Caenorhabditis elegans: one gene and its partners. The protein of the gene in region 1 purifies or fractionates together with the protein of each later gene. This does not show direct contact. Each region holds a gene or a part of one and is shown on either strand. Other genes may lie near its edges.

Region 1 (7,281 bases):
TAAGTCTCATAGATATATTGCTTCGTTAGTAGCCAATGTTCATGGAGCTGTAGTATCTGATTCCTTGCTCTCAGCTGATGGAAGGTAAATCATATTATAATTTTTTACAAATCATATTCAAAGATATTTCCAGAACAATTGTGGCAATCGAGTCTGATCAGCTTCTTCTTTGGGATCTCAGAACTCAATCTGTAATTCATTCTGTGCATGCTCCGAATGTATTCCAAATTTTCTATATGAATAAGGAGGCATTGATAGGTGTGATCTACCGACAAGTAGACTCGGCGGAGCAGAAAATCGCAAGACTTACCATCTACAGTATCACTGATTTCAGTGTCCAGTACAGTTTTGAATACCCATGCAGGCTTTTCAAGGAGTGTGCTGTGATGAGGGTAAGTTTTGAAATATAATAGTAGAGTTAGGCACAAAAATGTTTTAATTTAGGATGGAATTACTGGAGTGGTAATTACACTTTTCAAGGGACACGATAGTCTTTTGGTTTTTGATGCAGTTGAGAAGACGCAAAAGATCAAGTTTCGGCCGAGGCAGTCGAAAAAGCAGAAAGACGTGATGATTAATAAAATTATTGCGATGCCATCCAACAGTAATCAGGTAAAGAAAAAATGAATTCGCAATAAAAGTCGAGGTAGGCACGGCTGCCTGCAGGCATAACTCGTTTTTAAAAAGATTAACATTTATTCTGCCTATGTGAGATAACTTTCTTCTCAGAAAAGGTGGTGTTGAAAGTTTGAACAAAAATCGTTGCTATCGAGGCGCAGAAAATTGTGTACTTTTTAAAATCGGAGCGCGCTCCACGGCCAAATAAATACGCTCCGCCCCTAAACGGTGGGTCTCGTTAGGTATTGTAGGCAAATGCAGAAATTCAAAAATTTTGAAACAATCTCAAACAGAAAAAAAATATGCTACCGTAATTCTACACAAGTTCCCAAAAATCCACTATAGATTTTTCGTAAATCTACAGTAGGCTTCCGTAAATCGACAACAGGTTCCTGTAAACCAACATTTTCTGCGTCCTCATAATATTACAAAACTATTTTCTCTTAAAGTACCACATTTAAAGTCTAGAAAAATATTCTCCCTGGTCAAAGCTTTACGAGAATTCGTTTTTTTTTTCCTTTTTCCAACTCCAAAAACTTTTCAGATAATAGTCGTAGAAAGTGACAATAAATCAAGCGTCTGGGATATTCGAGTCAGAAAATTCCATCGATCCCTCACTCAATTCAACGGAGTTGTGTCGAATGACGGAAAATTGGGATTATTTGCACCTGCAAAAGGCGGTCTTTTTGTTCGTTTCTCAATGTTCACCCTCAAATTATAGTTTTTCTTTAAATTTAAAGGTAATCGATATGCGGAGCGGTCAAGTTGCAAAAACTCTAATCGGAAATGTGACAGAAGGAGTGAACGATGTTACTTGCTCATTTTCTCCGAATGCTCAATACGTGTTCTACAATCACAGTGGACATAAAACATTGAGGTTTAATACGGGAACACAAAATTCCGAGAATGCGTATTACACAACATATTTGATGCGCAGTTTATCTCGTAGCAAAAACTACAGTAACTCTTAAAATATATACTGCAGCGCTTGTGTCGATTTACTGGCTCCATTTTCGAGACTAATTTCTGTTCCAATTTTCTTCTAATTTTCGCGTTATTTTCTCAATTTTTGAGCTTAATTTTAATATTCTATCGATAAATAAATGATTCTCGTAAATTGACACGAGCGCTACAGTAGTCATTTAAAGAAGTACTGTAGTTTTTGCTACGAGATATTTTGCGCGTCAAATATGTTGTGCGATACGCATTTTCAGAATTTCGTGTTCCCGTAATAAAAACAACTATATTATCCATTCGTTATTCAATAATCGCTGGAAATTTTCAGAGTTTTCCGAGTCCTCGATTGTCAATTAATTGGAACTTTCCGGCCTCATGCCACGATAACCTGTTGGAGTTACGATCCAGATGGATTTTTCGTTATTATTGGTACACAGAAAATCAAAATCAGAGCGCAATCGCGCTCCATCGGCAAATAAAAACGCCCCGCCTCCAGCCGTTGGGTCTCGTTGGGTATTGGCGGCAAATCACGTAAATTCAAACGATTTCAATTATTTTTTGGCGGTTTTCATAGCATTTTCTACTCTTTTACACAAGTTGAGCAGAGAAAAGTTTTTTAAAAATGTAATTGAGAACGTTATAACATTAGTTTCGGCATAAAAAATAATTAAAACCAAAAAACAACGAAAATAATAACAGAAATCGTTTGAATATACTGTTCTCCCGCCAATACTCAACGAGACCCAAAAATTTGGTGGTGGAGCGCGCTTGCACTTCGATTTCAAAAAGCGCATTTTTCTGCGTCTTCATAATAAAGCAATTAAATAATTTTCAACTTTCCAGGTGCACAAGATGGATCCCTTCTCACAGTTGTTCTCAATGATCCGATGGTAAAAGAAGAAACTCTCAACAAAATCGCCCTTCTCCCTTGTCGACGTCACCTTGCAGAATTTCAGCATATTCATGTTCCAGAGGAAGCCGAATTGGACACATTTGATTTGAGAAATCTGGGAGCCGTCACCGCCGCGGTTACCCGCTTCAAATCTCTATTGGATAACAAAAAAGGAGGAGGGGTTACAAAGAAGTCACATGTGTGCAGTATAATGTGAAATGTTTTTTAAAAATTTTGCTCGTAAAAATTTGTCTTTATTTTGAGTTCGTCCTGATTTGCAGAGCTCTTATACTAAATGAATTGAATTGCAAACAATTGCGAATGATGATATCCACAGAAAAAAGGATAGTGAAATGGAGATTCTTTCAAGTGGGGGTGGGATGAGAAGGAGATGGTGGTGGGGGAAGGGTAACAATTTTAATGATAAACTGGAATAAAACTTGACTATTGGTGTTGGCATCTGACGCCTTGTCCGTGATGTCCTCCGTGTTGTTCTTCGTCCGAATCTTCATTGTAAGCGTCTCCGCCACGTCCTCGGCTGTACTTCTTCTCGTCATATTCCATAAGAGAAACTTCTGCGGCAGCTGGGGTGACATTGACAACTTTTGAGGTAGGGAAGCAGCTTTTCAGAACCTGGAATAAAGAAAATTTTAGATAAATAAAACGTAACATACAAATCCTATTCTAATCAATTTATAAACATAAATTTTTGTTGCTTTTTTAAAACGGAAATAAAGTCAGTAAATGAAACAAAACCTTAAAAAACAGTTCGAACAATACATTAAGAACAATAAATCTTTAATAAAAATACTTACGGCATAAGCTTTTTCATCATCGAGGAAATGCTCCTTTGGAAATTCGACTTCAAATTCAACGAACAAGTTTCCTTTGAGTTCTGGGTATTTCTTATTTGGCATTCCTTTTCCAAGAACTCCTCTGATGACTCCTGGCTTGATAACATCTCCTTGTTTACTAGAAAGAACCAAAGGATGGCCATCAAGATGTTTGATAAGGAAATTATAGCCGCAAAGTGCCTCATTCAGTGATAGTTTCCTGAAAACAGTAAAACTTAATTTTTAAAAATCGATAAAAAGTTATTACTTGGTCATGTGAAGATCATCTCCATCTCTCTTGAAAATATCATGATCTTTCTGTTGAATAACAATGACAACATCTCCTGGCTCACCATCTGGCTAAAAGATATTTTTATTTAGAAATTTTTTTAAATCAATTATCTTCACATGCACTTACGTCAGATTGGTCTCCATCTCCTTTGAATGTAATTTTATCGTTATGTTTCATGCCAGGAAGAACGTGAACCTCCAATATTTTCGAAACGTTTTCGTACTTTTCTCCATGGCATCCTTTGCACTTATCACCTGCTGGAACTTTGCCTCCAGAACCCTTACAAGCATCACAGTGAACCTGCATTTGTTGGAGCATTCCGGGGCCAATTTGCTGAACGATCGTCTTCACTCCACGACCACGGCATGCATCACACTTATATTTTTCTCCCTTCTTTCCACCTGACCCTTCGCAAGTTTTACAGAGTGCCTTTTTGGAAAGCTTCAGCTTTGATGTTTTTCCGACGTAAAGCTCTTCGAGTGTAACATTGAGGGGATGAACAGTATCTTGGAATTTCCGCCGACGTGGGCCACCTCGTCCCATTCCACCCATTCCACCGAACAAGCCACCAAATGGATGACCACCCATATCATCATCGTCGTCATCGTCATCACCGCCAGCACCGCCGAAGAAGTGAGAGAACAGACCTCCAGGAAAGCCTCCTCCACCACCACCAGCTCCTCCTCCTTGAACTCCTTCCAAACCTCTGGCGTCATACAAGCGTCGTTTTTCAGGGCTCGAAAGAACTTCATAGGCAAAACTGATCTCTTTGAATTTATCTCCATGGTCCGGGTTTTTATCTGGATGGTATTCTTTAGCAAGTTTGAAGTAAGATTTCTTAATGTCGGCCTGCGAAGCGTCTGGTCTCACATTGAGTGTTGTGTATAAAGTGGTGTCCACGGGACCACTACTTCCACCTCCAAACATATTACCTGAAAAAAAATGAATATTAAAATGCGGACATGACAGTGAAAAATTGAGAGAAACGGACGGAGAATGCGCGAGATGTTTGAAAAATACAACTTTTAATAATTCAATAATGTAAATTATTGAATTATTTTTTAGCAATTTAAACAAAATATTTAGAAATCAATTTTCTTACACAACGAACGACACCAACGAGCAAGTGAAAACAAAAACTGAATTTTGTGAACAAGCATCGAACGTTAATTAATGAGAACTGAATAAAAAACGCGGAAAATCGAGAAATTGAGCAAACGCGCGTCAAATCGATAAAAAACCACCGAATTTGGGACTTTGTACTGCAGAGAAAATTCTCGATAAAACCAACGCTGGTCGCGAAACGCGCCAGCATCCAATAACGCGTCAGCCGCAACTTCGCTTGCCCCATTCTCGTGAGCGCACGGCAGAGAGACTGAAGACGTGACAACACCAATACTCCAATAATCTTAGCACGCACACAACTACAATCTATATAAATACTGCATTCTAACTAATAAAAAAGCCAATGCTACTATTACAAGCTATATTTAAAATATTCATAAATTCTAAATAATCCATAAACTTTAAAATTATGAGTGAAAAGTTGCCACCAGGTTGGGGTTCTGTTTTTGGACATTTTTCACATAATATTATCAGGTACACTATGCGCAGTCTGTGACGACATTGCAACTGGCAAACATTACAGCGTTGCTTCATGCAATGGATGCAAAACTTTTTTTCGTCGGGCTCTTGTGGTAAATTTAAATAAGAATAGACCTAGTTGAAATGAATCTGAAAATATTGATTTTTCTCTCAATTAAAATGTTTCAAATTGATATCTAATCACAAAATGTTGTAAGATCAATTTAACAAGCATCAAACATCACCCTTTTTTTAGAATAACCGAGAATTCGTGTGTCAAGGGAATAAAGATTGTCCAGTTAACAAAGGAGTTCGATGCGCGTGTCGTTATTGTCGACTTCAAAAATGTTTGGCCGTTGGAATGGATAAGAATTGTAAGTTTTTGGTATACTTTGAGATTATGGAAGGATCCTAGGGTACATGGTACATCGATTAGTAAAGCCGTAGAAGCAACCCGAAATAAATAAAAAATCACCTGCCATTTTCCACGGCCGAATATGTATAAATAAATATTAAATTGAAAAAATTAGAAAACACTTTTCTGTTGAAATATATATTTTTCTTACAATTAGATCAATTATAGAATAAAAAAGTATTATTCAGACGCGAAATTTGGCGAATTTTCCCTCTCTGCCGGTCTCGGCACGATAAATGTTTGATAAATATAAAAATATATGCGCCTTTAAAGAGTACTGTAGCTTTAAACTTTGCTGATGAATTTTTATCAATTTTTCTCCGATTTTCTATGAAAAATATAATTTTGCAATTGGTAAAAATATTAAAAACACATAAATTTGTGAGAAAAACTATTCAAAATCAATGAAAATTCCACAATAGCGAGTTCAAACTACAGTACTCTTCAAAGGCGCACACCTTTTCGCATTGATCAAAAAACTGTCGCGTCGAGACCAGGGTCACCGTATTTTTGAGTTTAAATAAGGAGAACAATTTTTTAAGAGCCGTTAATTAAGAGGCTCTAGATAAAATTACAAATTTTGAAAACCAATTTTGAAATTTTTCCAGTTTCTCATCAATCTAGAAGTTACAAAATTTCATAGAACAATATACAATTATATTTCAATTTAATTTTTTTTAAAATCTGAATCTATTCAGCAATTCAAAACGACCGTGATAGAATTGGATACACAAAACGAAAAAGAAGACATGATGACAATGATATGGAAGGAGGTGTTCATCATTCAGAACATATCAGAGATGGATCTTCAGGAAGTCCACAAATGAATGATGAGAGCCCCGAGAGTATGGATATGAAGGATATTAAAATTGATTTGGTAACTTTTAAATAGAAATTTCCAAAAACAATGCAATGCATAATTTCAGAATTGTCTGGATCCAATTGCTGATAGGCTTACAACGTTGGAAAATAACTTCACACTACTTTTGAGTAGATGCGCCGATTTGCATTCCTATGCAACGTTAGAAGATGCTCTCAATGCTCCAAGTCGATTTATGCAACCTATTTCTTGTGAAGTGAGTTGAAGAAATGATTTATAAAGTAGCGTCAATAGATGTTTGGTATTGTTTATGTGCATTAAAATAGTTTCTTTTAATTTTGAAAGTCGACCAAAAAATTTCAAATGTTTCTGAAAATTTTGGCATTTTACCAAAACTTGACTGAAAATTTCAAAAAATCCAGAAAATTTGGTCATATTGGTCTATTATAAATGAATTAAATTCAGAACCCCAATGGTCATATACTGTTAAAAATTTGCATAAGTATTTAAATTTTTGTAATATGAAAAATGTATAAAATCACGTCTAACAGCTTGAGCTAAAAATTTTAAAATTTTCATGAAATCTACTATTATAAAAATAAGACTGAACGAATGATTGGGATTTTTTCAAAATTGGAAAATTCACTTTTTTTGGTACAAAAATACGCCGAAGTTTATTAAAATTTACTTTTTAATTTTAGTTCCAAATTCGATTTATTTTAAAACTTTACAAAAAATTATTTTCCCAATTTTTTGGAATTCGTCAATCAAAAAAATTCCAATTTTATGTTTAAAATATATTTAAAATATTCATCTTCCAACATTGTAGATGCTCAAATATGCGACAGTGCATTAGATTTCTTGAAAAGT
Region 2 (8,229 bases), on another chromosome or scaffold:
TCTCGACCAAAAAGCTTTTGCAGTGTCGAAATCTTGCTGAAGGTTTTTTCTTGCTAAAGATTTCCAACTACGATATTGCCACCCTTTCGCTCCTGTTACAATGGATGTCAAAGTTTTTACATAAATTTGAAACGATACATGAAAACTTAAGCTAAAAAATTGATAAGTGTTGGTTTCAAATTTTCAAGACTTCGCTGCGGTTGCAAAAAATTCTTAGAAACTCAGAAACTCTGAAGATTTAATGACTTAAAAATCTGAATTCAAAAGTGTTCATCGTTGGTTTTCTATTTTATAACTTTCTTCTGAAAACTCACGTTTTAAGATTATCCGCCGTAATCATCTCGTTCGGCTGTTCGTCTTCCAAAAATCATCGATTTTGCCAACAACCTGAACAGGAAAAGCTTTCGAAATTTCGAATACGGAAAGAGCAGCCTATTGAAATGGAAGGGGTGATGGTGTTTCGGGTATTATTTGAATAGACCGTGTCACCTATTTTTCGGTTTTTCGATCGAAGCGGACAGAAAAAAGGGTTGGAGAAGAAGAATGCGTAAAACATGTAAATTTGTGTACAATTCCGTTTTGAAGTGAGAGAATGTGAAAAATTGAAGAGAATGGTTGCAGATGAATCATCCTGAAACTCACCCTTCTGTTTCTCTATTCTGCTTGTTTTTAATATTTGAACTACTTTATAGTTGATAACTCGTGATCAGTGATAAAAATTAATCATAGTTTAGATTTTCCAGTAAATTTCTATGCAGGCACAAACTCACCTCGCCTTCAAGGCAACCTACGCCTACCTCTTGCCACAAGAACCTACGGCTGAAGAAAACGTGAATGTTTTCCCTATTTGAGCTTAATTGAAATAAGAGAAGTAGAGTTCACACCAGGACTCACGATGAAATTATTTTTCATTATTCCTGAACATCTTAATGAACGATAAGCCCACATAGATAATTTACTACGTTGTACTATTTTGCTACGGACGTATTTTTACTACGTTATCCCATTTTATATTCTAGATATGAAAAAGAGTTTTTTTTTTAATACATTTTCATATCGTTTTTTTTTATTTTCTAGAAATTTATTCAATACGACGAAATGATCAGAACTTATTATGAACATTTGGCTAGATATAAAAAAACACGATATAATCTCTTGTTCTCTTGTAAAAATTCCAGAAACAATAAACAGTATTTGCCGGTTTTCACTATCTGTAATCATCGCTATAGTTTCTCACTATAGTATACTTCTCATAAGATTAATGAGATTACTTCTGAAATGCTCATAGTGGCTTCTCAGAAGCTTGAAGTAGTAATCTCAGAAGTAATCTCATTCAACGTAGTAACAGATCTAAATGCGGAACATGTACAGCATATATTATGCCAGAATTATGTCTAATGACTTAAAATCTGCCAAATCCATGTTTCAAGATTACAAAAGTTTTTTACAATAAACTTTTCAGAAATTTTCGATATTCTTTGGATTATAAAATTCAGCACTATTTTGTGAGTTTTTAAATTGTGTAGACTTGTGCCAACAACTAAAAATTGCTTTAGCTTTCATTTTAAAAATATAAATTTTAATAAAGAAAACAAAATAAAAACAGAAACAATGCGCTAAAAATTTATGTAGATACACGAGAACAGTAAAAGAAGGGGGACAAAGTCATCAATCCAAAAACTGGTCCTATATAATCTGAAAAAAAGAGAACATCTATATGAATAGACTAGTCGTTTTCAATATTCTGAAACTATTTTTGTGCAGAAACCGAAAATCAGTTTTCTGCAAAAATGGATTTTATCAAAAGATATGAAGGGAAAACAATCAAAAGTCGGAAGAAAAATGGAGGAAAAAGAACAATTTGAGTGATGTGGTATGTGTTCAGAAAGTATTGGGAGGAAAAATGAGAATGTGACTCAATCCAGATGGACTGATGAAAATTGATTGATAAAAAGAACAGACAGGGCAATCCTAGAGTAACAGGGAAAAAATAAAATAGAAACAACTAGAGAGGATCTAGAACTAAACCAACAATATAAATGATGACTAATCTAAAAATTTGGTAAAATGCATTGCTGTTTCATAGGCACCGAAGAAAACAAAACCACCGCCTGAAATCCACATTACACGAGGTACGACTCCAGAATAAAGCCCACGTACTCCATTTGATGTGTACACCTGAAATTAAAAAGAAATGGTTGGATAGAGGATAATTAGTTCAATTCTTAAAGCGATTTATTAAGGTGATAGATAAGCTTTGCCGCTTTTTCGCCAAAACTTTTATATGGTAGTTATGGAAAACTGTGAGTCAGGAGTGGGCGGCCATTGCCGTTCGGCAAATTGCTGGTTTGCCGATTTGCCGGAATTTTTGATTATCGGCAAATTGCCGATTTGCCGTTTGCCAAACATCAATTTGCCTGCCTTTTTAAAAAATGTTCCGTTTTTTCTAGATATTTTCGTAGAATTTTCTTATTTTTCAAAATAGATTTAAGAACATTCATAGGATGCGTACAATTTTGCCGATTAAAATTGAAATTCTGAAATTTCCAAAAAGAATGTACAAACCACAATTTGCCGAAAATCTTCGGTAAATGTCGTTTTTCCGCCAAAATTGGCAAATCGGCAAATTAATATAGGCAACTTAATATGTACACAACTGAAATTGGCAATAAATTTGATTCTTTCAACTGTTTTATTCTTCAGACTCACCTCTTTTAATGTGCTCAAAATACCAGGAGCTGGACCGTTTTTTGTGAGCATGATACGTGTCTTTGCCACGTCTAATGGTGTCGTTAAACCAGCTGCAATAAATCCAGCTACACTTCCACAAGCAGCTCCTTCCAATGGACTACAACGACCTGATTCCTGAAATATTTTGTGATTGTAGATTAAGATATTTAAAAAAAACTAACTTTTTTATTTGCCACTGCCCTCTTCAAAGCTTCCCAAATAGGAAACTGGATAATTGAAAAAGGAATTTCTCGAGCCACAGTGCTACCGTATCCTCGATAGAATCCACGTATTCCTTTAGTTTCCATTATTTCTTTGCATATTAACGTCAGTCGTTCATTTTTATTAACTTGTCCTCTTTGCTTACAAAGCTCTGTTGGTACTCTTACAGCACATGCTGCAATTTCAGCCAAACTTGCAGAAACAGCATCCACAAGAGCATTTCTTTCTTCAATTACTTGTTTCATTTGTCCATTAATGTATTTGTAAGTGAGGAAGAAAATGGCAGCTCCGGGTGCTGAGCCAACTAATACTGAGATCATTCCCCTGAAATAGAGAATCTAATCTACAGCTATTATGCAGAAAACTCAGAAAAATGCCGCTTTTGAAATCGGCGCTCCGGCCACGAGCTATGGGTCTCGTTAGGTATTCGGCGGCAAAACCGTGAATCAAACGTTTTCGATGAGTTTCACCGATTTTTGACTTTTAAAAGCTTTTTGGTTATGTTTCCAGATATGTTTAATGAGGTTTATGCCAAAATTGATTAAAAAAAGAAAATTACTTGAAAATTGGTGAAATTGGCAAAACTACTTTAAAACGTTTGGATTTACAGATTTGCCGCCAAATACCTAACGAGACCCTAGGTTCGGGGGCGGAGCGTTTTGTTTCCATTTCGAAAGTTTATTTTCTGCGTCCTCATTTATCTGAATTTTTGAATTTAATTTTGGGTTAAGCTCTCAAATGTCCGAAAACCAACTAATTATATCCATTTTTTCCAAGTATTCACCTATAAATATCTTTAAAACCTCCAGCTGCAATGAATCCTTGTTTAGATTGCATTCTTGATTTAATTGTATCCAATGGATATAATCCAATATCAACTGCTAAACCAGCTGTCGCCCCACACACGAGCCATCGTACCACCGATCCTTCTTCTGATGGCATCCTAAATTACTCCATATTTAAAATATCCAATTCATTCTAGAGGTACTACATCAGTCGACAAATTCGACTTCATGGGAAAGGAAGCAATGAAAACACATTTCTTATTTGCAATTTATTAAATTAAACAAAACTTTTAAAGACAACGTTTATAAAAGATAATCCAATAGTGAGCACTGATGAGAAAATGTGTACACGAATCATTGTTGAGTTGGAAGATAGCCAGTATTCTGAAATATGAACATAAGTTTTTTTTATTTTGCTTGAAACACATTCTGAAAGCAATGATTTCAACCATGTAAATGCGAGGATCAGGAAAAATAAAAGGAAGCACTCACGAAAATGAGACCAGGGATTTTGGATAAGTGAATAAATACAATAAAAAATATTGGCTTACCAATTAAATTCTTATTGAAGAATTGAAACGGGATTCACAACACAATTGTCAACAAATTCAATGAATTTTCATCGAATGTGCTCGAATTACAATTAATCATTTAAAATGTTTGGAAATTTTAGAAAACAAAATGTGAATTTCAGATCAAGAAAAAATTTCTGTTGAGAGGATTTTGCGGGGATTTTTTTTGACGATTCCGATTTGAACTCGATGCCACGTGGATGCTGCTGGACCTGTTGGAAAATACAATTGAAATGAGATAAAAAAATACAATAGAAAATATCAGCTATGCTTATTTCTTCACATTATCACTGACATTACAATTAATGCCTAAAACTTTTAAATTTTTTGACAAAAAGGATTAACAAATAATTTTCAAATTATCATTTCAGCTGAAACCTATCAAATTTCAAGACGTAAGTGAATAAACAAAACTACATTTAAAGGACAAAATATAGAATTAAACACATAGGAAGCTTAAATGATAAAAACAACTAACACCATTAAAAATCTATTTCAATCAAAAAAAATATCAATTTCACATTATAGAATCAATGCTTACCCAAACCCAAGCTTATTTTAAATGAAAATATTACAATTTTAATGTGCTCTCAATAAATACTAGCAAAATGTTACAAATTTCATAGCATACTTTTTTCGAAATACTCCCGATACAACTGAAATTTCGAAATGACCCAATACTTGAGGAGTTACATTCAAAACGATTTTAAATAGAACAATGAAAGGTAATTGAAAGAACAAATCTGAAAATCAATTAAAAAGTCAAAAACTTACAATTTTAGAGTACAAGTGAGCAGATCCCGTATGCAAGTGAGAATAAATCGAAATCGACCAGTGAACATTGAGAATGAAATTTAGAGATTATATAACATTTTTGGATCTGAAAAATTGAAAATTGTTTTGTGCAAAAGCAAGCATCGGCATTACCAAATTGTTGAAAAAGTGAAAATTGAAGAGTAAAATAGAAATAATCTTGAATTTGAAGAAAGTCGTGTTATTTAATAACGACGACGGCGTGGAGATGGTGACCGCGAGTATGAGCTAAAAAAATATTTTTTCAAAAAAAATTGTTGCTCCAAAACGAACCGTGAGCGAGTGCGACTGCGTCTTCTTCTTTTGCGATCTCTTTCGCGACTTCTTGAACGATCACGATGTGATTTTGAACGAGACGAATATCCTTTTGATTCAAGGCCTTTGAGTGTGTGCTGGAAAATATATAATTATGAAAAAAAATTGCGATTTACTTTGTATTTCTGTAAAGGTGGAGTATGGTCGTTGTGAAATTTTGTATCAAATGAAAGAAAAAAGCCATAATGACCATATTGAGATAACTGTTTAAAAACTTAATTAAATTTCTGAATTTTTGATGGTTTTTTTTTTCAAATTTGCATAAATGTTTAGATTCATCGGTTTTTCTTGATTTTTTCTTTGATATTTGATTTGAAACACCGTTTTTTTTAGATTTATAAATTAAATTTTAAATCACTGATATGTTAGCAAAAAAGTTTTGTTTCAGTAAATTTATTTCTTATCAATTAAGTTTTTCTTACAGAGACATAACTAATAAATTGACAAACGATGAAAAATTTTTTATCGAGTTTTTTATCGAAAAATCATAAAAAATCGAACATTTTTTAACGGTCATTAAGGTCCATTTTCTATCATTTAAACTTCAATGGAAATTAGAGTTTTGCTCAAGAAGGATTTTTTTTAAACGTACTTCCAATCCATAAACCAATTGTCTGCATCTTTCATCATGTCCAATTCGACTGTTTTTAATCAATTGAATTGCTGTCAATATAGTCTCAGATGCTCCTTTAATATCTCCAACAGATGCATCAGTTATTGCTCGAGCTATAGCTGACGATGATACAGTTTGATTTCTTGTCATTACATCTTCGAACTCAGCGTCAGATAAAACTGTTCCTTGAAGTCCGGGGAACATCTGAAAATAATAAAATTATCATTCAAAATTATTTTTAGTTTTCAAAAAACCATTACCTGTGGATTGACATGGACTGGTGGAAGACCGTTGATAGGAGGACGCATAGCTGTATTCATTTGCATAAGTGGCTGAACACCCATTGAACCAAGTTGTGGTGGTCTAGAACTATTTGGAAATGAAAAAGAATGATAGAGGATTATTATACGATTACCTATTCTGGAATTGATTATTCATTGGAGGTGGTGCATTCATTCCCATCATTGGTTGTATTCCCATTGATGTTTGCATCATTGGTCGAACTTGTTGTCCCATCATCATTTGAGGTTGTTGTTGAATTTGTTGATTCATTCCACCTAATGGTCCATTTCCTAACATTGTTTGTTGTGGCACAGGAGCACGGTTCATTAATGGAACTTGTTGTCCGTTGATTTGTAATCGCATTTGAGGAGCTTGATTTAGATTGCTTGGCAGAGATGTAGGTTGGCTCATCAAAGGAGTTGGTCGAACTTGCTGCATCATGAGAGGTGGAGGTCCAGATCTACCAGAGACACTTGTTCCAGTTCGACCAGTTTGCCCTCCAGCTCCAATACGAATAGTTCCCATATTGACACATCCTTCTTCGAAACCCTGCCAAATTAAAAATGTTCATAATTAGTATAACTTTTCGAAAACTTTATTAAAAAGTGATAAATTGTTCGGATGAACTTTTAACGCACACCCTTCAGAAGGTGGACGCCGGTAAGACTCCGAATCAATATTGCACCTGCTACCAGCTCATGATCATAAAGACAAAACACCGCTGAGTTTCTAGGCGCGGGCGGGAATCGATCACGCGGACTGCTGACTGACAGCCAACTGCGCAACCGACTGCGCTTCCCTCGACGACCACAAGTACCAAGTGGAAAACGTTTATATCGGTGCGCCGTGGAGTAGCAGAGAGTCACAGCACTAATTTCAACGATAGTGTTATATTCTCTTTTTTTACCTTTTTCTTGACGTCTGGACGGGTCTGATTTTTTGCTTGCGCATCTTCCAGCTTTGCCTGATTCGTTTTATTGTACGACAAAACAGTTGGACTTTGGCCATGGATAGTTTTAGTTGGGAGAATCTCCATAGTTTGTTTTACCGCTGCAATGAAATAAAGTTTTTAGAAATATCTTGTTAGTTTCTACTAACCAGCATCAGAATTCAAAACCAATAAAGCATATCCCTTGCTTTGTCCATTCGTTCTGTTCTCGAAAAACTTCATGTCAGCGAATTGAGATCGTGCAAGGCCGGTGGATTGAAGAGCTTTCTGGACAAAATTTATTGAAGACATTCAGTTTTACAGTCACTTACCAATAAATCAGCATCTGTAGTATACCAGAGAAGGTTTCCCACGTAGCAGCAATATTTTCTTCCTTCCGAAGACGTCGCTGGTTTTGCACCAATTCCAGCAGTTGGAGCAGTCACAGTGGTGATTGTTGGTGAAACAGGTTTTGCTGATTCCGTCTAAAATAAAGAATTATAAGGATTTAATAAGAATTCATTAGAAAACTCACTGAATTTGTGGGTGCAATCGCTTCATCGTACAGATCGTCAATATCTTCTTCCTTGAGCTCTTTTCTGGATCAAAAAATAAATTTTTAGCATTTTCTTTTTTCATTAAAGTATTTACCCATCCAGCAACGCATTCTCGTCTATGGGACCATCATGTTGTTCGTTACCGTCACCTAACAACGCTGCTTCGTCCAATTCAGCCATCAATCCTCAAACAAACAACGGTTACATGAATTTTAAGAGAGAAAATTAAAAAGTCAAAATTCAATTGTCTTCTAACAGAATAAGTGAACAATTATTTAATTAATCGATAAAATCAAAAAATATTTATTAACGCAACATGGGTGGGGCGTGCACGCTAAACAACAAGCGTGTCTGTTCAACGGAGTGTCGTTTGCAAATGTCGATTTACGAAAAAAAAAATTGATTTTGAAAA
Region 3 (9,381 bases), 6.5 Mb from region 1:
GCCGAATCAGATGTTTCACCATTTCGCTGCATTGCTTCATCCTTCTGATGAGCTCTTACAAGTATTTCTCGCACTTTGAGCATTGCTTTATGTGAATTTTCTTTCACTTTTTCTGCTTCCAGTTCAATCTTTCGTTTTTCAGATTCTTTTTTCAGTTTCTCATCAACTTCGAATTCAATTAAATTTTCATTTTTTCCATATTGATTCTCGAAATACTTTTCACCGCCCTTTTCTGTTCGATTCATTTTCTCATGCTCATCACCATTGTTCACCTAAAAATAAAAACTAAAATTAAGTTAAATTTATAGTCTATCTTACTTGTTTCACACCAACTTCCTGATCCCGTTTTGCTTGTACACTACAGCAATCCAACATTCCTGGATCAACTGGATGAGCTTCAGTGTTGAATATATAGCCTCCTCCATAGATCACACAAGTCAAATTCTTTGGACTCGTCAATATTCTAGCTTGATCTCCTTTTGAATGAATGAAGTTTGTTGGATCGAACAATAAATAAAGATATTTAGTTGTTTCAGCAAGGAAAAATGACTCCATTCTATCTTCAATACTATGCTCTTTTACATTGTTGATTGTAGCATAGCCACATTTAGTTCGGGCTGATGATTCTATTGCCTGAAATTTAAACTTTTTCAAACGCATTAAGCTCAAGATTTAGTTTAAAATAAAAAACTAACATCAATCATTTCAGCTCCAAGTTCTAACCACGTTTCATCCTTTGTCGCTCTATACAGATACATCAATGATTCAACCATTTCAGGCCGTAAAGGAAATGCGGCTCGTTTTTCTCCTGGCTCTTCATTATGAATGTTATAAAATTCAGGTGGGAACCCGTATTTTCGTATAACTTCAGAATATGTTAACATAATTCTTGATGCATCTTGAACATCACCAACCATTGTTAGAGTTCCAGGCCAGAATGCTTCAAGAGATTGAAAAATTGGCAAGGAGACAGATCCTTTGGCCATTGATACCCACATAAACCATTCACCTTTCCGAACATGTTTATTAATTGATGTTGCATGTTCATGAAATTGTTTCATAAGACTTGGTCTTCTGAATAGATATGCTCCTTTTGCTAAATACTCGAAATAACTATCAACGCCAGCACCAATTCCAGAATCAGTTGCCGTCCATTGTCCTGTTTGAACATTGATATGATTGCCCACGAGTCCGATTGGTGATCTTGTCGACCATAAAGCATCCAACGCTTTTAGAGCCACTTTTTCGTATTTGTCATCGCCAGTCAAACGTGAGAGGGTACCAAATTCTTCAAAAAAGGAAGTTAGCCGGATATTATTAAAATCTTAAAAATTACCAATAAGAAATGTGCCCACACCAGCTGTACAAGTAATTGGTGTTTCATCTTTATGAACTCCATATTTCAAGTTAACAGTTCCATAGGGCATTCCAGTTTCTGTATTGAAAGCAGGCATAAGTCGATCAGCCATTTTAACAGCTAATTTGAGAAGCGGACTATCACATGGATAACCTTCCCAATCTACGACAAGATCTGGAATGAATCTTATGATGGTTTAGTAATATTCCTTGTGAAATTTAAATTACCTTTATGCCTTCCCGCTAGCATATGTGCAGATATTAATCCGCCAACAACTCTGATATTCGTCTCGAAAACAGAAACATTCACATTAGCATCATCACGAGCTTTCTCAAGAACAAGTGACACTGCTCTTCGGAATTCGGTTGTATTTCCCATCACCAGAAGAGTATCTAGAGCATCAATTAATGAAAGAGAGAATGATCCCCAGGTGTCTTGTCCAACGCATGTTATTGGTTTCAGTTCATCTAGTGGAAATGCATGATCCAAATATCCGTTGTAGGCGTGGTAGAACATTTTTTGAACTTTTTCTCTATAAGAATCAATAACTGATGGAGTGAATCTTATTGAAGACTTTTTATTATCGGGAGCTTCGGAATCATCTGATGCTTGAATAATTGACGCTAATGCTAAAAAGAATATTGCTTTTCGAGTGATCATCTGAAAATTGTGGTATTTTAAATTCAAATTTAATATATCAGACAAGTATTTTAAGCGATTATCGCTTACAAAAAAGTTTAAAGAATTAAAAACATATGTTTTAATCATCAACGCGAGTTTATAAGATAACCAGTAATAAAGAAAAATGTGTGATGAGATGAATAGTGTGGTAAGATCATTCACAGTCAATAATAATTAGACAAATAAACCGGGATCATAATTAATTCATTTAGTAGGTGCCTGGAAGCAAGGATCTCCAAATCGTTCGATGACGGCACTTGCCTCCGATAGCTCGTTTCGAACTTTTTCCCTCATATAGTAGATCGGACAGTCTCGAGCCGAGCAATTCACTTTGTCTTGCATAGTCTTTGCACAATTTTGGCATTCGGTCCAGAGGCGACCAAAATGGTTTTCAAGTTCGTGCATAGTGTTCATTCTGAAATGAAAAATATAGTAGAACAATTATTGCATTTCTAATTACCTAGAAGCAAAAATCGTTGGAAGCTTCGGCTCACAGTGTTTGCAAACTGCGTTCTCTGATTCTGCTCTTGGTAAAACACTCTTGCAACCAAGACAAGTTGCAGATTTCGTTGTGAACGCTGCAAGACCTCCAACTTTACTCTGAACGACTGTACGAACTCTTGTATGTTCTCCTTCCACCAGAATCTTTTCTGCTCTATCACCCAAGATGGGCTCGAAAATTCTGGCAAGTGGTTTGGCGAGTTGATTAGTCAAGTAGTGTTTGGTGTCCAATGGAATGTTATTTTGAAGTACAAAAGTTGGATCTTCAGCTCGTTCGTATGCCGGAACATTTTTTGCAGCAGCGACAAAAACATATGGAACTCTATCTCCAAGTCTTGGTGCACTTCCAGCGTCTCTTTTCTTCATACGAGCCGCCAACTCAACGTGAGCTTGCTTTGCTTGATATTTCTGAACATAATCAATTAGTTTCGTAAGGTTTTGAAATCGAACTTACATCTCCAGACTTTGTTAATTCCTTACTGATAATCAACAATGAGATATCAATTTTATTGCAGAGCAAGTCACTAATTGTCCGTTTCGCAAAATCCAAAGCAGATTGTTGATCTCTTTCTATTAGTAATTTCTCGAGGCAAACACCGAGAACTTTTGCAACCAGAGGGCAGTTATCACGGCGAACAGTTTCTAATCCTTTACAATCCATCTTGTCATGAACATCCGGTTTAGTGAAGTAAAGGCCAGCGTATCTCTTTTTGTTAATAAGTAAATATGGGGAGTAAACTTTCTCGAATTCAAGTTTGATCGGCGGAGTGAAAATCTTGCTGACTTCTTTAGCAGCATCGAGTCCAATTTCCATTGCTTGAGCTACAGTTTCGACACCGAATTTCACCATTACAGAATCTGTATCGCCATAAATAACTTTCGCATCTGCTGGACATTTTCCATCGAGAGCTCCTTTTTTGTAAATTCTCTCCACTTCGAGTTTCGTCATGTCAATCATTTTTCTTCCGAAAGCTGTAACTGATTGAGAAATCTCGAGACATGGCAACTTTCCAACAGTTGCACCAGTGAAACCATAAACAGAATTTGCAGAGATTTTAAGCGCCAATTGTCGTCCATTGTAAACCATTCTTTTGAACTCGTCTTTCTCGTTTTTCATATCGTTCTTCGCTCGTTTTCTTGCAGCCAGAATATCCTCGAGAATCTCGGGAAGAAGCCCACGGCGCTTAGATTTGGTTGCAAAATATTGGCCAGATGGTGTCCGAATATAATCCTCATTCTCAACTCCTTGTGGGGATTTTAAAAGTGTCGTGTAACAGAGATTATGAGCAATCATAATGGATGGATATAGAGAAGCGAAATCAAGTGTTGCAATTGGTTCATTGTAAAATCCTCGAATCGGATCAATGACAGTAGCACCTTCGTATCCTTCACCATCCCCAGAATTGGCTTCAATTACCGGTAAGAAGAAATTGTTCTGCTTACATCTTCGTAGCATCATTGATAGAATCTACAACAATTTCAGTATTATAATTTAAAATATATTTTGATTTACCTTGATTTGTTGACCTTTTGTCAGTAAGAAATTCATAGGAACTCCGGTGACTCTAGCCATTTCGATGTAATTAATAATTGACATTAATTTATCAAGCAGACGAAGAGGAAGATATGCGTCTTTCAAACAATATTGAGCCAATCGCCTCCTAGTTTGTTCATCTCCTCGTTGTAAATCAGGAATAATATTATGTTCCACATCTTCTTTTTGTTCGGATAAAAATTGATATGAGACACTATTGAGTGTATAACTTCGGAGTTTGTAATCCCGAAGTACAACTTGAAGTACATCAAAAATAATTCTTCCGTGAATATCGATACTCTTGTTCACTCGACTTCCCATCTGTTTCGATGATATTGCAGCATCTCTTACAACTGAGCCTTTTTCTTTCTGACGACCAAGATGAGAAACTTGTGGCAGTGATAGAACTTTAGCACGATCCAGAATGTATGGAAGATCAAAATTGAGAATGTTATATCCAGTGATAATGTCGGGATCCACTTCACGAACAAATTCAGCCCACTTTTCGAGAAGAACTTTTTCATTCACACATTGAATGATATTTGAACCGACGACCGGTGCACATGTTCCAAGAACGAAACAATTACGAACAAATGGTTCTGCTTCACCTTCGATTTTCACAAGATTAGCTATTTGAATAATAGGATCTTTAATTGCTTCGGGAAACACTCCACGTCGACCAATACATTCGATATCCAGAGACAAAGTACTAAAAAAGTTATTTTTTCAAAAGTAAGTTCAAACTTTCAAACTTACCGAATAGGAGCAATTCCAGCCCATTCACCATCACTTTCATGAACAATCAGGTTTTTGACCGGAACTGTGACTTCTATTTGACAACGAGACGACTTTTCACTGTTTGAAAGAATTCGGCACTTTCCAGCAGGAATCTGAAATCATAAAGAATTAAAAAAAAACTAATATTGTCAAAACCTCAATCCAGCCACATCCAACAATATTCGTTTTCGCCAAGAACATGACAATCACATTAATATTTGACTCGTATAAATTCCCAACGTTCACAGGACCCTTTCCCATCAAGTTAACTCCATTTTTCAATTCCATTCGCGCTTTGTGAAGAGCTTCTGTAGATCCTGACACCTTGACAAAAGGAACTTTCGTATCAGCACCGCGGAAGTAATAAAGATTCTCTCCGTGAACTATCTCCACATGAACAAGATTATCAACTACTTTTCCAGGCAATTGAGCTTGACCGCTACCACCTCGGCGTTTTGCTGCAGCAACCATATTGCAAATTGCAGATTGTGCAGTTCCAATGTGCTCGACACCGAATCCTTGTGGTGCCTGTAAGAAATATTACCAATACTTATTTTTTAAAGCTTAGATTACCTGGAAATAAAAATGTGGAAAGTAGTCAGTCACAATGACACAAATCGAATTTCCAGATTTGGTTACACCATACAACTTCACATTTGTTCTGTCGTAAGATGTTGCAGAGCCGTCTTCATGATACGTTTCGACCTCTAAGATCTGACACGCAATGCTTTTGCTAATTCCGAGATCTTTATCGACTGCTGGCCTGGCCCATCCTGTTTTATCAATCGTTGGTACAGATGGAAGTTCATTTTCGAATCTTGACTGAAAATAAATGGTTAGTGATCATTAAAAATAAAAAATGCAATTTTTAAAAGCTTGAAATCATAATATGAAAAACTTACAACGTAACACTGCTCGAATTCGTCACTTTCACGCTTTCGCTTCACTTCTGGTTGAAACGAGCTCCCGCCAGGACGCTTGGAGGTCATTTCTGATAAAACTCAGCATTAGAACAATAAATAAACTATGAAAGTAGAAAGAAATTGTTTGTCAAAATAGTAATGTAAACGTGCTCAAACGAAACGCCGCGAATCGTTTTTTTGTCTGAACAAACGTTTAAAGATTTAATAGGGAGAGAATTAAGGCGATTAGGTGGGAATTTAAAGTTTCATAACATCGAAAATCCGTTTAGATTGTGATAATCAATAAATAAAACAATAAAATAAGAATTGAAAGTCAATTTTTTTTATTTCCAAATCTTTTCGCTTTGTTTTGCCGCGCATTTTGGGTAGCGAATGTGCGCTCCACTGCAAAAACATTTCTACCGCGCTGTTTGAAATCTGTTTTTTGGGCCAATCGATTTTACGGTTTTGTTTGGAAGCGTTTTTCACTGAGAAAAACCTGGCCACTATTTCCTCGCATTCTTTTATATGTTTTTTTTTTCGAAAAATCAAGCTAATGCGCTATGATAAATTTGTATTACCTTATTTTGTTCAATCTCGACTTTTTGCTTTCAGCTCTCGAGTTTTATTGCGCGAAAAGCATATTTACCGTCCTTTGAACATTTTCTACTCGTTTAAAATAGTTATTGTTGCGAGATATATTGAACGCCTTCTTCAAACTCTTTTCGATCATTGAAAAATATATTTATTCATTGTTGAACTTTTCTCCCTTGTCTTCATTGTGCATAACAGTTTAAATGTATCTAAATTTTATTTATTTCAGCAGAGACATGGACGACGAGCTCGATTATGGATCGGATCACTCAATACACGGCGACGTTAGAGAAGATCTGAGTGACAGCGAGCTTCAACTACCGAAGGTGAGTAGTTTTCAAGATAAATCTGTTTAAAATATTACGTCTGAAATTTTTATAAATATTTCGATATTATCAAAGTGAGAAATTGCGAATTCAAATTTGACTACAAAGAGGAAGATGCAAGATGATCGGCTCGTTTTTTTCGAGAGCGTTTTGTTTGTTTGAATTGGGAAACTTTTGATCGTTTTGCTGGAGTCAAGTTTAATGACGCAATTCTTCATTTTGAAAATATCGCATAAAAATTTAAATAGTTCAAGCTTTTTCTTCCAGTGATCTCTGCAAAGTATAGTTCTGGTTACAATCTAGTGAAATTCCAGGGTTTAAACTTTAAAACTTCCATAGCTTGGCTGAAGTTTTGTACTTGTGTGGACCTGACTTCAAGATGAAAGTTGCCGTTTGACTCGCTTTGTCTAGAAAGTGAATTTGCTTTATTTCTGTGAGAGTGAGCGTTCTAAAATGACATTTTGTAACACGTGGAAGAAATGTAGGATCGGCCACTGAATTCTCCTTCATCTGTAAAGAATTATTAAAAAGTATGTCGTGTCAATTCATTCTGGACAGTCCATTCTATAACCCACGAACGAGCGACTAATTACTTCATAATTTAAGCCGACTTGTTGACACGACACACTGGCGGTCAGTATTATCCAGAGGATGAGGTTGCTGTGTAATTACAGCGTGTTCTTAGTCTCTCTCTCTTTCTGTCTTTTTCATCCTCATCTCTCACATACAGACGCGAACATACACAAAACGCCCGCAGGTAATTGAACACAAACAGCCTGGTGGTTAAGGTAGTGACCGGGACAACGATGACGACGTCCGGAGGAAAGTGATGGAAAAGACAGGAAAGAAACAGAGAAAGACTGTCGACTGCGGCGGCGGCGACGGAGAAGGAGAGCCCCTATTGTGCCCCTCTTCGTCAGGCCATTCATCGTGTGTCCTTGTGTTGCTCCCCTCCAATTCAATACCGTCTGCGGTGGTGGAGGTGGTGGTCTCCCGAACCGAACCGCCGCGGAAATATTTGTCTAACAACTCGATGACACAAAAAGTTTTACGACAATGCCGACGATTGTAGATGGCCTTTGTATATGTAATTATCGTGACGTGGCATTTTGAGTCGATCATTGCTATTTCATGTTGCACGAAATATTGAAATCTCACAGAGAACACCAGGACCTCTATAGGTATTCGTCGCATCCCGAATCAGCTCGGAATAAGTATCAGTAACATTTGACTTCAAATCCTCCGTGATTTGCAGAAATATAAAGATTTGTAGAAACTGAAAATGTATAAATTTCAAGCGATTTTTATTACAAGAATGTTTGCCGATGCTTCTTCTTCTTCCAAATCATAATATTCAATGGAATTATTGCAGCTTTGTCTTTTTATGACACCGTCATGCTATTCCTATCGCTGTCTTACTTTTGAAACTCAATTCTCAACTGAACGAAGATTCGCTTCCCTAGATATTTGCGAGAATATATACTTGCGAATTAATATCTTAATTTTGATGTTTTCCCACACTTTAGCTTTTCTACTATTCATATAATGTAGGAATAAGTACTGTTAGTATGTTTTCCGATTCTTCCAAACAAGGCCTATTTGTGATGGGATCATTCAATGTACTCTATTGACACCATTTGTTAGCTAAAGCCCAGAGCTTGCTGAAACGTGAGGCGGGGAGGAGTCGTCGTCCCGCCCCTTTTGGCTGTGTGCGCGCCCTCCTCTCGCCTCCTCCATCCGTCCTCTTGCCCCGCTCATTCTTCGTCGCTCCTCGTCCTCCTATTCCACCCTCAATATGAGCGGTCGTCGAATGTGTCTCCCCTTCTCCCTCAGTGTATGTGTATGTGAGTGTATGAGCGACGGCGCGCGCGCCTTCAGTCGTGTTCTTGTGCCCATGGCGCTCTGTTTCATCCGTGCATCCCAACGAACGACTTCTATTCTAGTCCAGGTTCCTTCTAGAGGCCACCATTCTAATAACTTCTCATCCTCAACACAGGTTGTGCCATCCGGCCGCCTGATACTTTCGTCTCAACCTCGCTGTCAGATTGGTCGTAGGTGAGCAAAGTTTCAGGTGTGCCGGAACACACCCATACTTTGCCTAATTGGTAGTTGTCAAGGTTAGTTTAGTTGCAAAACAATGGGTGGCATATAGGTCCCAACTGTTGGCTATCGCTATTGTCCCCGCTATTTCGCTCACGGCGTATGTATGTATGTATGTATGTGTGTGTGTGTGTGTGTGTGTGTGTGTGTGTGTGTGTGTGTGTGTGTGTGCAAAATATTTTATTTAAAAGAGCTGGAAGGATGTTGAAAAGTGGAGCGACAAGAAAAAAGGGAAAGACGACAAAGACGGGACAACTATGTGTTGTACATTTGTGACGGAGACTAGGCGGTTATTTCGCGCTCATTCAAAATGCTGCTATGGTACGTCGTGGACGCTCACACCAATTATATATTGATGATGATGATGTTGTTGTAATTGTGTATAGTCATATTTGTACAAGGCTTTGACACATTTAGTGAAGTGAAACGAATTGCTGTTTGACTCTGAATAGTTTCAAATTATAATCAAAAAATCTCAACATATCAGTTGATTTTGGCATAAACATCAATCCTAGGTAGAATGATTAGTGAGCTGTTGATTCATTAGTCATAGCTTTTGTTCTGCTCGATAGTCGTCATTTGATTAGAAATTTAGATTTCCTCTCAAAC
Region 4 (7,733 bases), on another chromosome or scaffold:
TTTCGAATAAAAACGTATTTTTCCTTTTGAAAAACTTTAATACTAAAACAGTTTGAGATCACGGGAGAGGGGTTATTAAGGAACCACCATTTCATGAGAATGCCTACTTTCTGGCGCGAAAATAGCGACAGCAGAGAGAGTGAAGAGAGTGCCTTCGCTACGAGATATTCCCGCACCAAAACGGTAGGCATTCTCATGATCTGATGGTTTCGTAATAGAAGTTACAGTAATCTTCAAAGGCACTCGTTTCCATTTAACAAAATATCGTCGTGGCGAGACCTGAAGCCGTATTTTAAGAAAAGAAATCACGACATTTTGCACTTGAGTAATAGATAACCTTTTCAATATTACAGAGGATTCACAGTCGAATTTCCCACCAAAAATGGAGTTGCTCTTCATATATCGGTTCGAATGGGTTCATATGGTCAAAATGTGATTGTATTTAATCATTTACAAAGAGGAAGATGGCATCGAGAAGAACATCATCAGAATACAATCATGTTTGGCCGACCATTTTGTATGAGAATTCATAATGAGCACAGAAAATATTCGGTTGGTTCTTCTATTGTTCTGTAATCCACAGGGTCTCATTTGAGGCAAACTCGGCCGTGTGGATTTACGAGATGGTCTCAAAAACGTTCAAAAACTCTCCCGGCTTCTCATCCATGTTCGAGTAATAACGTCGATCAGAGCCATATTCAGTAGACGTTTAAAAATGAGAATTTCGCCACATCTTACACGCAGGGGTCTCGCCACGCGAAGTGACTGTATATCGTGTCGAGCTGCTCGTAAATTGACACGAGCTACAGTAACTCGGTTTCAGCGTGGCGAGACCCATGCGCGTAAAATATGATGAAATTCGCAACTGTAGATGCCTACGTAATAAAACAAATTTAGAAGTTCTAAGTAGATTTTCTTTTTCGTAAATATTGTGAATACATATTACCTTTTTGCGTAAAAAAACAATTTTCAACCCAAAATCAAGATATCGGGTCCTGAAACTTCTCAGCTACCGTACCCACGAGTGTGAAAGACTTTATGTTAAAACCTAATTTCTCTAATTATTTGAGTTTAGAATATCAGATTATTGAACACAGATAGTTTTTTTTTATTCAAACAATATTCTCGTAAAAACAATCAATTTAATTCCAGATCCACGTGGACGGACATCACATCGGACATTATCATCATCATAAATGCCCAAAACGAATCGTTGCAATGACTGTTCGAGGAGATCTTCGAGTTGGAAAAATTCATTTCGAAAACTTCAAACATCATAACGGAGGAGGTTGGTTTTTATCTTAATATTCTGGGGATTTTTTTTTGTTTTTTGATTTCCAATCTTAATAATTCTAGGTACTGAAATCGGTGTAATGCAAATGCCTGTTGCTCCAACTCCGATCGTTGTTGCTCAACCACCGCCTCCAATGATTGTTCCCCAACCACAGATTGTTCCGGTTGTTCAGCAAATTATGCAACCAATGGTTCAACCCATATATCCAAGTGTTCAACCAATCGTGTATCCAACTGCTACTCCAATCATCTATACTCAACCTGAAGTTATCTACATGGACGGTTATCATCACCACCGTCACCATCACTATTGAAATTTGTACTTATTGTGAAAATGAATGAATAAATGAACATGACAAATTGATAGGGACGCACCGTTCATCTAATGTTCATAACTGAGACATGAATATTGAGCACTGCAGAAAAAGTTTGATGACAGAAACAAAAAAAAAAGTACATAGTACTACTGAATTTGAGTTGGTCAAGAGTCAAGAATGATTAAGGCTTTCAAGAATAAATGAATAAATGAAGAAAAAACAATATAACGAGCTAAAATGTGATGGGAACGGAAACAAGAGTTATGGAGGAGAAACAAGAAATAATATGAAGGGATGAGGAAGATTTAGAGAAGATATTACTTGGACTAGAAGATCATTTCTTATTTTTAACCATTTGAACGAGATACTTGAAACGACGAATGCAGGCTTTTTTGGACTTTGTGCCAACTTCTGTTGAGATCTTTTCCCACCGCTCGGGATCACTTGACTTATGCTTCTTGATAGCGTCCTCTAAAGTTTTCTGTTCGGTTGCTGACCAGACATCCTCATCTGGTAGCGCAGTTCCTAGCTGATTTTGAGTAGTTGATGGTAGCTTGACGTTCATCGTTTGAACAGCTTTGCATTGCTTGATAACCTGTTTTTCAGTTTTTGGTGGTAAACCCGTAGAATCCTTGCGATGCTCGTTAATGTAATCGGCAATTTGAACCCATCTCTCCACGGTTCCAGGTGGGAATGTGTTTGAAGCCTTTAAAAATATGAAAATTAATTAATGATTTCCAATCGTTTATGTCTTACCTTAACCAATAATTGAATCTCTTCACTAGTCCATGTCTCCTTGTCGGCTTGCTTTTCATTTTCTTTGTTCTTATCCTCAGTGATTGTGACCTTTGCTCCAGCAGCTTCTTTCTTCAGAATTTCAGCATCTGTTAGCGCAGTTTGAATTTCAGAAGCAATTGAAAGTGATTCGACCTTCTCGCACAGCTCTCTGAGTTGATCAACAGTGAACCCAATGCAAATCCGCTCAATTCTTTCCATTTCAGTGAGCTTATCGCGAGGATTCTCCGTCCAGTGGCCAGCTTCATCAGCGAGTTTCTTCAGACGCTTACGCTGCTGAGACATAGCTTTCTTGGCAATATCACGCTCTTTCTTTTCTCTCTCCTGAAAATAATAGTTAGTATTTAAAAATCGACAATATTCTGGTGTATTGTGCTCACTCTTTCTTCCTTTGCTTTTCTGTCAGCTTCCTCTTTCTGCTTAGCTTCGGCTTCTTCCTTTTCACGCTTCTCACGGTCGATAGCTTCTTGCTTTTCACGGATGGCTCTTTGCTTATCTTCCTTTGCTTTATCTTTTTTCTAAAATTTAAAATTGAAAATCCGGCAAAGTTTAGGCAAAGTTTATAGACTTACCGCTTGCTGTTCCTTCTTGAACTTGATAATTCTAGGATCCTTAGCATAAGCTATATCAACCAACTTTCTAATTCTCTTCGCCTCTTCTTTCCGCCGTCTTTCTCTTTCTGCCTTATTCTGTTTCTCCATCTCTCGTCTTTCGTACCGATCTTCTCCTCTTTCCTTGTCTTCTTCGTCCAAATACGAGAACTCGCGCCATGACTGGAAGTTAAACCAAAAATCGTAGAAATTCTCGACATCCTCCCGGGTCGCATCTGATTTACCAAGTTCTGGCACTGGCTTGATATTGGACCATCTGGAGTTTAATTGGAAAACTGGAGCAAGTTCGTTATAAAAGTTATTATGGTTGATTGATTTCTCATTTGGAATAATATCGTTGAATTTATGATCGACCGAATCGAAAGCTTGACGTTTGACGTCAGACATTCCAACTTGTTCATAAGCTTTTGTGATACAAGTAAAGTATTCTTCCTTCTCCATAACAATTCCACGATGCTTCTTCTTGTCCGGGTGATGCTTCAAAACCTTTTGACGATCTGAAATAATTCTCTTCAAAAAATTCTCACTTCATTTTAACTTACAACAGAAACGAATTTCGTCAGATGTAGCTTGCCATCTGAGCTTCGACAATCCTAAAACTTTGTAGTGATCCTGATTTTTGCAGTCATTTGGATCCAGCTTCATCAAGTACTTTTCATATTTTTCATTATCAGCATCAAAAAGATCTTTTCTCAATTCAGCTGGCTCTTCAGACGACTTTTTTCTTTGCTGTTCCGTAACAGGCTTTGCAACAGGAGAGTTTTTATAGATTGGAAGCGTACAGTGGCCCAGTGTGAGTTTATCTCGAATAAGGCGAGTCTGAAAATGTCAGTTAAGAAATATTTGCGGACATAGGTGATAGTAAACTCACTTCATAGCATATTCCGGCTGGCTCAAAAGCTCTGCTTCGAGCTGTGAATCCATAAATTGCAACTTGTAAATTGCCCGTAGTCATCTATAATTATTAAATTATTTTGAGCCTACTTTAGTCCTAAAACGAAATAAAAGAACATAATCAGCCTAGAAATTTCTGTTTTCTTTTTAAATCGCGTGACCACAGTTGTTCATAAAAGATTTTCAGCAACGAAAGAGAAGAAAAAGGGACATAATCTGAGAAATAAAGCTGAAAAACTACTGAAAATAATTGCGGGGGATTTACGAAAGAAGAAATCGTGCCATGGTTGCAAAATGTCGAGTGCGGCGCGGTTTTAACCGAGTCACAACATAAATTATGGAGACGGAGACACAATGCAAACGCGCTTCGCTGGTCTTTTTTGTTTTTTTTTCTTGTAACTTAAAATGGAAACCTGGAGTGATTTGGATTCATTTTAATTGTTTTTCAGCTTTGTAAGCTCCGCTTTGTACGCGATTGTATGAAATAAAACATGTTATAATTTCAAGTTATATCCAAAATAAGGTTTTCAGATGTCAGAGTCATCGTCAAACTTGAATCCAGATGGAACTGAGTTTCCAGACCCTAATGACGTGCCACCACCATCGGAAGATCAATTGACTGAAGAGGTATGCTGAAATATTACATTTGTAAAAATTATTAACAATCTCCATGTTCAGGATCTATTCCGGATGCGTTCTCTGACAATCAATTCGAAAAAAGGACGTAAGTTTTTTTTCATCGCTTGAAGTTGTTTGGAAAGATAATTATTTTTAAAATATTTAATATTTTTTTAGTTTCAGTTGTTGGTGGTGCAAGTGAGACAGCCGAGCAGTCCATCATATCACTCGCAGATTCGACTTCAAATTTTGATGAGCATGTTGGAGATGATGCCGAGTTGGATTATGAGCTGGAACAAGCTCCTGAAGCAACAGAAGATGGTGCAGTGGTGAACAATCCTGTTTGTGGAGGGTACCATTTCGGAAGGAAAAGAGCAGATGACTTCGTCCCAAATGCCAATACAGGTTTCTTAAAACTCCAGTTCGATGTAACACTGATATCTATATTCTATAATTACAGTAACAGTGCTCAAATGGCCTACAAATCTGGCGATTCCTCCACGCAACCCCGTGCTGAGCGATTCTGATGAAGAATGGAAGAAAGCGATTCTCGACTCCACCATTTATCTCATCGGTACAGCTCACTTTTCAAAAGAGTCGCAGGAAGACGTATCCAACACAATTCGTGCTGTGCAACCTGATTTTGTCATGCTTGAGCTGTGTCCATCACGAATTTCAATCATATCGATGGATGAGGCTCGGCTTTTGAGCGAAGCGAAAGATCTCAACTCTCAAAAAATTATTCAGACCATGAAACAAGTGAGTTCTCATATTTTTGTTGTTGTAATGTTGTAATATTTTCAACTTTTTTAAGAACGGCGCGATTCAAGGAATTCTGCACGTTCTTCTCCTGTCAATGTCAGCGCATGTAACACGTGAACTTTCCATGGCTCCCGGAGGAGAATTCCGTGCTGCTCATCGTGCAGCAGTTGCAACTGAGGTTTGAGTATTTAAAAAGTTTTATTTACAAAGTAACTATTTCAGAATTGTCGTGTAGTTCTCGGTGATCGTCCTATTCAAGTTACACTTCAACGTGCACTGGCTTCTCTCTCCATCTGGCAAAAAATTCGCTTCTTCTTCCACGTTGCATTTTCACATCGTGAGAAGATAACTGCAGAAGAGGTATTTAATTATTCAACCTTTTCCAAAAATATTCCAAAATTATAGGTGGAACGATGCAAGCAACGTGACCTTCTGGAGCAACTTCTCGCCGAGATGGCTGATGATTTCCCACAACTATCCCAAATCTTTGTGGAAGAGCGTGATGCCTACATGACGCATGCTTTGCATATGCTCGTACACCGGAACTCAGTCGAAAAACGTGCACAATGGCTTCGTGGAACAACTGGGCAACAATTTCAACCGTTGACAGTTGTTGCTGTCGTTGGAATCGGACATACTCCAGGAATTGTTAACAAATGGAATACAAATATTGATTTTGATCCACTTATGAACATCCCACCACCAAGCCTCGGAACAAAGGTAAATTAATCTGAAGTTATTTTAATTCTTTCATTTCTTTATTTCCAGGTTTTCTCCACTGGCGTCCGTATTGTTGTCTGGGGATCTTTGGGATATTTGGCTTATCGTGGAGGACGTGCTATCTTCAATCGTGTTAGCACATTCATAGAGTCTCGTTGGTAGGTTGGAAATTTTTGTTTAAAATTTAGTTTTGGGAATGTTGAAATTAAACGATGAAATTAAACGTGAATTTTGCAAAATCAAGGTCGCACAGAGAGAGGCAGCGCGTAGTTTTGCAAGCCTGTGGCATTGTTTTCCACCGTTTTTTGGTGGTTTTTTTTCGATAAGTTCTCAATTTTACTGGTTTCACTATTTTTTCTAATGAAAATGTTACCTAATTCAATTCTCATACGATTATGAGGAAATTTCATGTTAGATTTGTTGTAAAAACGAAGTATTCTCACAATCTTATGGGAATTGAATTAGATACATAATATTTTTATTCAAAAAAAAAGAAGGAAAAACCGTACCACAGGGATGAGAAATTACGCGAATTACCAACTCCCCATTCAAAGAATGAAATAATAGCAAACCTAATCTCATTTTCGTGCTTCTCCCGTCTTCTCTCGTTATTAGCTTTTCTGGTATCACCTGCTCCGCACAAGTTACCCATGACAACCAACCCACTAACTCGTATATCTTTTCAGAACAACTCATTGATTGAAGCGGGCACAACAGCATAGCAGCCGTCTACATTCGATCTACAGGCGTTTTCATCGTTATTTTGTTCTTTCCTAAAATGTTTATGTCTAATTATTGGACTTTTAATCGCTTTTTCTTGTAATGTGATACGATTTCTAGGGTGTAGATAGGTTGAGAATTGAAACAAAATTTTTCTTCTCCCATTTTTTTCTAAACTATCCTTTTCTGTTAAATGCCCAAACAAATTGCAATTTATTTATTAGTCCCACCCGCTTCTTCCGTTTATCGATTGATTTATTCTCGTTTTCTTTGTAAAATACACAAATAATTTAAATTATTCATCTCTCTATTGCAAAATCCCCTTCTACAAGTCCCCATATTCAGCTCGCTGGTCGTATAAATGACACATTTCAATATTATTCTCTCGTGATTCGTGGTAATATCCATAAACTATTATTATCTTTTGAAAGGTGATTGGAAGAGAAGAAGAATGACGAATTCTCAAACTGTCTCACTAATTGGACCAACTCAGATGGCTCCACAATCAACACCTCCACCTCCTGTGAATGAATTGTGGTTTATTGATGCGCAGGCAATGTTTCAGGTAATTTATGTGGAAATGAGCTATGAAAGTTTTAAGAAGTGCTGAAATTATTCGATTTTCTATACTAGTTGAAAAACGGAAAAAAACGAAATAAAATCTGAAAACACTCCAAAATCAGTCTTGCGAGATAAAAGATTTCACACGAAATATTTTAAGAATTACGCCAACCTCCGCTCGTTCTCCAAATCCAATGCCAACGAAATTAATACGACAATTGGCGGATTCGTTTTCGGACGTAAAGCTCGGAAACAGGTTATCCATGTGCTATTCGCCTACGCTGAAGATCTGACTGAATCGAACAGACAATTCTTGGAGAGCTCTCTGTCTGCTGGTAATTAATGGAATAATATTATTAAAAACTGAGATTTAATTCAGATATTGAACTGGTTGGAAACTTGAATATTGATGGACAATCACAGATTCTTCCTGGCGGGCAGT

What was found.
Region 2: the proteins of dnj-19 (region 1) and slc-25A26 fractionate together in Caenorhabditis elegans (co-fractionation; one large-scale study listed by BioGRID). This does not show direct contact.
Region 3: the proteins of dnj-19 (region 1) and pold-1 fractionate together in Caenorhabditis elegans (co-fractionation; one large-scale study listed by BioGRID). This does not show direct contact.
Region 4: the proteins of dnj-19 (region 1) and dnj-11 fractionate together in Caenorhabditis elegans (co-fractionation; one large-scale study listed by BioGRID). This does not show direct contact.

The regions. Positions count from the first base shown.
Region 1 is NC_003283.11:5,500,327-5,507,607, forward strand, and holds dnj-19 (DNaJ domain (prokaryotic heat shock protein)), read right to left. Parts: upstream 4,527-7,281; 5' UTR 4,520-4,526; coding exon 3,719-4,519; intron 3,661-3,718; coding exon 3,569-3,660; intron 3,521-3,568; coding exon 3,283-3,520; intron 3,101-3,282; coding exon 2,912-3,100; 3' UTR 2,707-2,911; downstream 1-2,706. Other genes in the region: T05C3.2 (NACHT domain-containing protein), read left to right, coding at 1-84, 134-392, 445-612, 1,163-1,306, 1,359-1,495, 1,904-2,004, 2,419-2,684; Nuclear hormone receptor family member nhr-47, read left to right, coding at 5,127-5,148, 5,192-5,289, 5,433-5,550, 6,290-6,468, 6,518-6,667.
Region 2 is NC_003282.8:8,926,108-8,934,336, reverse strand, and holds slc-25A26 (Mitochondrial carrier protein PET8), read right to left. Parts: upstream 3,896-8,229; 5' UTR 3,895-3,895; coding exon 3,737-3,894; intron 3,277-3,736; coding exon 2,913-3,276; intron 2,866-2,912; coding exon 2,710-2,865; intron 2,179-2,709; coding exon 2,047-2,178; 3' UTR 1,546-2,046; downstream 1-1,545. Other genes in the region: D1046.4 (MFS domain-containing protein), read right to left, coding at 315-340; D1046.18 (uncharacterized protein), read right to left, coding at 4,015-4,095; cfim-2 (RRM domain-containing protein), read right to left, coding at 5,308-5,350, 5,396-5,514, 6,030-6,254, 6,311-6,419, 6,466-6,881, 7,240-7,382, 7,431-7,548, 7,593-7,745 and 2 more.
Region 3 is NC_003283.11:12,038,068-12,047,448, reverse strand, and holds pold-1 (DNA polymerase delta catalytic subunit), read right to left. Parts: upstream 5,894-9,381; 5' UTR 5,840-5,893; coding exon 5,753-5,839; intron 5,673-5,752; coding exon 5,424-5,672; intron 5,379-5,423; coding exon 5,007-5,378; intron 4,964-5,006; coding exon 4,830-4,963; intron 4,783-4,829; coding exon 4,053-4,782; intron 4,008-4,052; coding exon 2,994-4,007; intron 2,948-2,993; coding exon 2,499-2,947; intron 2,454-2,498; coding exon 2,243-2,453; 3' UTR 2,102-2,242; downstream 1-2,101. Other genes in the region: F10C2.5 (alpha-1,2-Mannosidase), read right to left, coding at 1-272, 319-633, 696-1,288, 1,337-1,531, 1,585-2,017; Protein kup-1, read left to right, coding at 6,583-6,672. UniProt on the Caenorhabditis elegans protein: Possesses two enzymatic activities: DNA synthesis (polymerase) and an exonucleolytic activity that degrades single stranded DNA in the 3'- to 5'-direction.
Region 4 is NC_003282.8:6,582,109-6,589,841, reverse strand, and holds dnj-11 (DnaJ homolog subfamily C member 2), read right to left. Parts: upstream 3,972-7,733; coding exon 3,888-3,971; intron 3,836-3,887; coding exon 3,559-3,835; intron 3,514-3,558; coding exon 2,978-3,513; intron 2,924-2,977; coding exon 2,786-2,923; intron 2,730-2,785; coding exon 2,367-2,729; intron 2,317-2,366; coding exon 1,945-2,316; 3' UTR 1,656-1,944; downstream 1-1,655. Other genes in the region: lec-11 (Galectin), read left to right, coding at 354-552, 1,153-1,288, 1,357-1,607; F38A5.2 (TraB domain-containing protein), read left to right, coding at 4,442-4,537, 4,589-4,634, 4,706-4,933, 4,989-5,287, 5,343-5,468, 5,513-5,650, 5,696-6,010, 6,059-6,168 and 1 more; odr-8 (Ufm1-specific protease), read left to right, coding at 7,182-7,295, 7,452-7,626, 7,671-7,733.